Macaca fascicularis: one gene and its partner. The protein of the gene in region 1 interacts with the protein of each later gene in a pairwise test. Links are inferred from orthologs where the notes say so. Each region holds a gene or a part of one and is shown on either strand. Other genes may lie near its edges.

What was found.
Region 2: the proteins of CETN3 (region 1) and SGSM1 interact in binary tests that used the Homo sapiens proteins (3 or more experiments, as listed by UniProt). The two-hybrid records come from large-scale screens. The link is inferred for Macaca fascicularis from reciprocal best matches to the Homo sapiens genes CETN3 and SGSM1.

What each region holds. Positions count from the first base shown.
Region 1 is NC_088380.1:94,401,699-94,405,515, reverse strand, and holds part of CETN3 (centrin-3), read left to right. Parts: intron 1-1,111; coding exon 1,112-1,226; intron 1,227-3,817. UniProt on the Homo sapiens protein: Plays a fundamental role in microtubule-organizing center structure and function. As a component of the TREX-2 complex, involved in the export of mRNAs to the cytoplasm through the nuclear pores.
Region 2 is NC_088384.1:26,367,354-26,371,270, reverse strand, and holds the start of SGSM1 (small G protein signaling modulator 1), read right to left. Parts: upstream 2,309-3,917; 5' UTR 2,185-2,308; coding exon 2,166-2,184; intron 2,070-2,165; coding exon 2,026-2,069; intron 1-2,025. UniProt on the Homo sapiens protein: Interacts with numerous Rab family members, functioning as Rab effector for some, and as GTPase activator for others. Promotes GTP hydrolysis by RAB34 and RAB36.

The DNA of each region.
Region 1 (3,817 bases):
TTCTCAATCTTGCAGTCCTCTTTAGCTCTCTTTTCCCACTGTTTTTTGTTTTTGTTTTTTGGTTTTGGTTACCCAGATTTGATCAATTCTTCCTTTATAGTGTCTCTTCCATTAGTAACCATTGACTGGTTTCAGACCTTATTTCATACCTGGAGCTTCCTAAATGGTTTGTCTACTTGTAGTTCACCTTGTATACTACTACCACTGAATTTAGATAGTTTAAAAAATCTTTCACCATTGCTTATAAATTGTTCGTTGCTCATAAGCCTTTACTATTAATAACTCCTCATTATATACTACTTAAAGTTCAGATTCCTTTGCTTTCTACTGAATGTTCTCTACACTTTTGCCACCAACTACTTTTTTCATTTGCTAACTGCTTTCTTCCTCCCAAACTCTTCTAATTCACGTGGAATTCACCTTCTAATCCAGGTGAGCAGTTTATCTCACCTGAACTCTTCTAATTCAGGTGAGGTAAACTGCTCTGTTCGTTGTCCTTCAAACCTATTGTTCATTTCAGTGTTTCTTTTAATACTAGTCATCCTTCCCAAATGCCCTACTGCTCCTCTTCATCTGTCCTTCAAGGAACAACTTGAATCTTTCCAAATAAGACTTACCTAGTCAGTAACATGTTTCCTTCCTTGTTACTAGTAACAAAGTCTCTTTTTTGTCTAAACTCAGGGTCCTTCGCCCTATTATTAACCTAATAACTAATCATGGAGATGCTGATGATAATTCTTATTTTAATGTTTTATCTCTTCTATCATATAACTTTAATATTTATGCTATGCCTTTTTCTCATTTTGGTTGTTATTCCCGTGATAACAAATAGCAGTCAAATTATCTGTGCAGTAAGTTAGTGCATTTTATATAGTAAACACTTGTTGGTTACTTTGTCATATAAAAATGCAATTTATAAATGAAAAAACTTATACATAATTTCAGTAGTGAAGAACAATTACACTGTCACTACTATTTTAAAGAGGTAAAACATGCAAAAAAGTTATATTTTACTAATGTGTTTTTATCTCTTAAGATGTAAAAACTTAATAATTAGAAATTCTTTTGTAAAGATTGCTTTATAATTTGCTTTTCCCTTTTAATCCAAAAGGTGGCAATGAGAGCCTTGGGGTTTGATGTAAAAAAAGCTGATGTACTGAAGATTCTTAAAGATTATGACAGAGAAGCCACAGGGAAAATCACCTTTGAAGATTTTAATGAAGTTGGTGTGTATTTTAATAGTCTTTGTAATCAGCAGCTGTTAGGAAATTGTCTGATTAATATGACTTTTTAAATTTTAAATTCTCTAGGTTATGGAATTTTCTTATAGAACACTGGTGTATAATGTGACTCTTACTCAGTTTTGTTTGGGTTATTTTACTTTTTTCATTTTCAAAGAAAAAATATGGCTTTGCTCTGAGATTTATAGTTTTGTCTTTTGTTTTGTTGTGAAGATTCTAGCCAAGGAACTACTGTGTAGCTTTTTATGGAAAGATGCTTTTCCAAGTTATTTGTATTTATATTATGTGATAAAACTTGAAGGGTGATCAAAAAATTATTTTTGCTCAGTAAAACAGAAAATTTGATATCCTGCTGTTTGGAAAATGTTTCCCAAGACCTTTCTGGTATGTGATTTTTGCTGGCTAAGTGGGAGAAGAGGGAACTGGTAGTAGTTGGTATCTTTGGCCCTAGATGAAATGCGTGACTTCAGGTTGACAAAGTTTATGAGAGGCTACATCCTCTGGATGACCTTGATCTTAGTGGATAAAGTCATCTGTTTAGAGGGTAGTAGTAAAGGAGGCAGTGGGCATACTGCAAGCAGGAGAAAACATCCTGGTACCACCAACTGAAGATAATGTGTCATAGGCTTAATATGGCTAAATTTTTGTGTAGTTGATTTTAGTGAATTATTTATAGCATACATAGAGCAGGCTTTTTCAAAATAGAAGAGTCTGGAAGGCAAGGGCGTTACTATTGTCTAGGATATTACCTACAAAATATATAAATATTCAGGTTTATTTCTATTTTTTTCCCCCTAAACCAATGGGTCACGATATAAGCACATCATATAAGTATTTTAAGATATTTGGAAACAAATTCTGTTATATACACAAACCCCTTCTTTTAAATATTCATCAAGAAGCAATATGGGAAGCAAAAAGAAATGGCAATTAGTATACGCAGAGAAAATTTAGATTCATGTCATTAGTTTTTTGAATCCAAACGCTCAAGTCAAAAGCAGTTGAGATGGAAAATAAATGATAAACCTAAAAGAAAAAATACAGCACAGAAGATACTCAACTTACGAACTAATATATGACTGTTTAGAGAGGCAACTTGTCTGTTGGGGACATTTTCCTTTTTTTCCTCTAATTTGTAGAATTTTTTATTTGAGGAGAAGGAGAGAGCCACCTTTTGTTCTCCCAGAATGGACACTCTCCTGAAGTTTATAATCGTAGTATTCCTAGTTTTACCTTAGATTGTTTATTTGTAGAAACAAGATGTTAGGATACAGTGGAAATGATACTATTAGGAAGGAGCTATAATCCAGGTATGTTTAGTACAGTATAGTGGTTTAGCACTTGGAACCAGATTCTGTTGGTTCATACCTTGGTTTTGCCACTTTATAGCTCTGGAACTTGGTCTTTTTAATACCCTGTGCCTCATTTTCAACTATAAGGTGGGGATCATTGTACTCTCTCATGAGATTCTTCTGAGGATTAAGTTAATAACATGTAAAGTACCTAGAAAAGGGCCTAGCATGTTGTAAGTGCTACTAAGCATTTGTTATTATTATTACTTTAAAAAATTGTCTCTGTTTCAGGGGCTCAAAATAATCATATATGCATCACTGGGACATAAAATAGACTCTGTGTATACTTTTTATTGACTTTTTTTCATAAAGGCTATTGTAAGCACTATATCATCACTAATAATTTTACAAAATATTTTATTTCATCTTAAATGAATACAATTTTGAAATTGTGATTTTTTATTGGCAGTTGGGACCAGAATCCCATGCCACCTCCACTTTTTCCTGATGCCCTATCTGTTCTATGTTATTAACAGAGCAGAAATACTGGGTTCCTTTAGAATAAATAGATGTGGCTAAACTTCAGCTTTGACACTCAAAGATTAACCTTTTGACAGGGTCAACACCTATCTTAGCTATCTTAAGGCTACCTATGGAGAGTACCAGGTGTAAAATAAAAATTTATTACTGTTTGGGAATCAGTCAAGAACTATGTATTTCCCCTTTTGTTGATTATTTTTAACTAATCACTGACCACAGATTAATATGTTTTGTACTTTGGGACAAATGATTCTAAATCTTAACATTTGAGTCCTAGTTTTATGAACTACTCAAGGATACTGTTCCACAGATATATCTGGATGAAGTTTGGCAGTTAACTATTATAGATTCTTCCTAGTACTGGAAAAAAGCTTTAAAATATATTTAATGTAAGTTTAGAGTCAAGACAACCTGAGGCTAGTGAGTAACATAGATGTTTTAGGAATTCTGTCTTTAACACCAACATAAGTCAAACGTTTGTACACTATTTTTGACATATACTACTTATTGCTGATTCAGATTATAATAGTGTATTATTGTCTTCATTTTGCTTATTTAACACTGAATTTTTTGGTATTAGGTACTGTACTGGGGTTGGGAAGAAGACGTAATTAAAAGTTACTAAGAGGTTCTTCTTTCAGGGAGTTTACAGTGTACATATAGGTGACAACAGGCTATAGTACTATGTGGTAAATTGTAATTTTGTCTAGGACAGAAGTCAGCAATTATAGCCTTTGGACCAAA
Region 2 (3,917 bases), on another chromosome or scaffold:
ACATCTACATATTACATGTAGGTCTGGTTAAACCATGAACAAAAAGACAGCAGGTGCTTTGCAAGGTACGTGCCCCTCCCCTGAAATAGTCACAAGAATGTTGTTGGTCTGAGTTCTGTTGAAAAGAAGTTCTAAGCCAGACACAGTGGCTCACGCCTGTAATCCCAGCACTTTGGGAGGCCAAGGTGGGCGGATCATGAGGTCAGGAGATCGAGACCATCCTGGCTAGCACAGTGAAACCCAGTCTCCACTAAAAAAAAAAAAAAAAAAAATAGTAAAATTAGCTGGGTGTGGTGGTGGGCACCTGTAGCCCCAGCTACTTGGGAGGCAGAGTTTGCAGTGAGCGGAGACTGTGCCACTGCCCTCCATCCTGGGCCCCAGAGCGAGATGCCGTCTCAGGAAAAAAAAAAAAGAGAGGTTCTAGACAGACCTCCCTTGGAGTACCCACAGGAGCCTATACAAAGGCTGAGCTGAACACTTCTGGACCTTTCTGAGGGATCTAATGTATTTTGCATGTCTCATTCGAAAATGCTAGAATGTGCCAAGCAGCCCTGGAGCTCATTCTTTAAACAAAATAGGACATGCCACACACAGACACATATACACACAGACACATACTCATGCTCCCCGAGGAGGGAGGGGCAGCAACAGGTCCAAGCCTCCAGGCTGCCCTTGGTGGCTGTCTGCCACTGTGCAGGGAAGGACGGGTCATCAGTGATGCTTGATGCTGCCACCTCAGCCGACACCCACAACACACATACACATGCACACACGCGCACACACACACACACACGCACTGAAAGCCAGGCCCACAAACCAGGCCAGCCCACAAGGTCTGCTGCCATTCGAGGCCTTGGGCTAAGTGCTCATAAGGTTAAAAAGTGACAAAAACACAGCAGCAATGGGGTCTGAGGCTGAAGAATGGGGAGGGCAACACACAGGGCAACACGCACACACACGGCGTCACAGCCCTAGTTATTCACACAGACTCATGCATCACATGCCACACACCCACTCAAGATACACACGCACAGTCACAGCATCACTCATTCACACAGACTCATGCACCACACAATACACACACATAGACCCACTCTCACAAAAACAGATACACAGACACACATAGATATGTGTACACACAATGCAAAGAGATACACTTAGGTATCTCCAGACACACAGACATTCTCATATGCACATACTCACAGCCACAGGTCCTCACCCACGCAGGCGTACGCAGCAGAGCACACAGTCCAGGCATGGAAATGCTACCCCAGGCCCCAAGGACTACAAATTATCCCTGTCTATGGGGTTCTGGGAGGTCTTTGGTCATGACCCCTAAAGATTAGACTGGGCCCCCGCGCTGACCCCAGGGAGAGTGGAGGGGCAGAAAAATGGCAGAACCTTTCTGATTCTCACCTCTGAGTGTGTGGGGTAGGGGGTGAAGGGACCCCTACTGCCAGGTGAGCAGCTCACTGACCCGGGACTCTCCGGATCAGTGAGAGGGAGTCCCCTGGCTCCTGGAGGTGGCTCCAAGGACTGAGAATTTGGGGGCTGGGGAGGGAGGCTTTATTTTCCCTCTCCCTTTTCCCAAAGGGTGCCCCACCTTCGGCAGCCCTCTCAGGGCCCCTCCCCCAGCACACCCTGTGGGGGGTCCCCCCAGCAGCTAGTCTCTCTTGGAAGATCCCCTTCCTGAACCGCACCCACCTGCTTGCTCCTCCACAACAGGACGTTCTACTGGGACATAGCCAGGTGGGTCCCACACCTGGAGGGGCCTCACGCTGCATCCGCCCCCGCACAAAGCCTCAAATGGGCCAAAGCCTCCCCACGCCTATACCGATCCCCAAACTCCCTCGCTGCGCCTCCTGCCCTGCGGGAGGTCAATGCCTACCCAGGTGAGTCCCACACCTGGTCTGGCCGCCCCCCCCACCGCCAGAGGCCACCCTTCCACGGAGGCTCTTTTCCCGTTTGGCTGTGCTGCCCCCTGCCCGGGGGAAACCTGCCCAGCGCCCCCACCCCGGCACCCACCTCCTTCTTGACGGTGCGTAGAAGCCTCTGTCGGGTCTCCGCCTCTGTGGGACAAGACGCGAGAGCCGCGGGTTAGCCTAGGGTGGGTGCGGGGGCCGGGCGCTGCCCTCCCGCCGCCCCCGTGTCCCGCAGCCCCTTACCCGCGGGGGTCGAGGCCATGGCTCCGAGCGCTGGGTTCCGAGTCCCGGGAGGCGGTGGCGGTGGCGGCGGTGGTGGCGGCGGTGGCTCCTCCGGCCTCGGCGCTGCTGCTGCAGCCGCGGCGGGGCGGGGCCGAGCGCTGAGTGACGGCCGGAGGGCGCCCGACGTCAGGACCCGAGGCGGCCGCCCCACCCCTCAGGCAAGCCACCGCGCGGTTGGGCGGTCGGGTTGCCTGCGCCAGGAGCCTTCGCGCCAAGCACGCACGCTCGCTCCCGCGCACCCAGCGCCCGGGCCTTTCAGGCTCCCCCACCCTCCACGCCAGCGCTCAGGTCCCTCCCTGTTCCCTAGGGCGAGGAAGGAAAGCGTCCTTCCTGAGCCCTCCTCTGTGGGCCAGGCTCCAGGAAGTCGCAGGAAATGGTAGGACTACTACGGACATTCTCCAAGCCTGTTTTCTCATCTTTAAAATGGGTATAATGTGGTATAAAATGGGTATCATGGGTCTCAGAACGATCTGAGACTTAAGTGAGATATTGGATGTGAAGCCCTTAATACAGACCCAGGGGGAAAGGCCAGCAAGCATAAATGCTTGCCACTGTTACTGTTATTACTATTATTTATTATTATTGAGAGTCTTCCAGCCGGGCGCGGTGGCTCACACCTGTAATCTCAACACTTTGGGAGGCCGAGGCGGGCGTATCACTTGAGGTCAGGAGTTCGAGACCAGCCTGGCCAACATAGTGAAACCCCATCTCTACCAAAAATACAAAAATTAGGCTGGGCATGTGGCTCATCCCTGTAATCCCAGTACTTTGGGAGGCCGAGGTGGGCGGATCACCTGACGTCAGGAGTTGGAGACCAACCTGGCCAACATGGTGAAACGCCGTTTCTACAAAAATACAAAAATTAGCCGGACATGATGGTGGGGTGCCTGTAAACCCAGCTACTCGGAAGGCTAAGGCAGGAGAATCACTTGAACCTGGGAAGCAGAGGTTACAGTGATCCAACATGGCGCCATTGCACTCCAGCCTGAGCGACAGAGTGAGATTCCGTCTCAAAAAATAAAAAATACAAATACAAAAATTAGCCAGGCATGGTGGCATGCTCCTGTAATCCCAGCTACTCAGGAGGCTGAGGCACGAGAATTGCTTGAACCCTGGAGGCGGAGGTGGCAGTGAGCCAAGATTGCACCACGGCACTCCAGCCTGGGCAACAAGAGTGAAACTCCATCTCAAAAAAAAAAAAAAAAAAAAAAGAGTCTTCCAAGATTCACTGGTTCTCCATCCAGGAGAGGCCGGGACTTAAGTGGCTCCCTCCCGGACATGCAGTTTGCTGGAAGAGTGGGGTTTTCTCAGGAATCTGGCCCCAACAGGAGGCACTTGTCAGCCAGGATCTCCGAGGCTGAGCAGGCAGTGGGCTCTGTGAGAAAAGGCTTGTTCCATTGAGAGCCGCTGGTCACCCCAAGTCCCTAACTGTATGCACCCAGAATGCAAGTCAGGTCAATATTTATTGAGCACCTACTCTGTGCCAAGTGACTGTGCTAGAGATTTCTAAGTGAGCAAGACAGACAGAGAGCGCTACCCTCATGGAGTTTAAGAGACAGACAACAAAATACATAAGCAAAGGACAGACCATGCTGGAAAGTTCTGGAGAAAAATTAAGTAGGCAAAGGGGATAGGGAGGGCCCAGACCCCTGGGGATCATATTCTGAAGTAGGGTGGTTGAGGGAGGCCCCACTGAGCAGGTGACATTTGAGC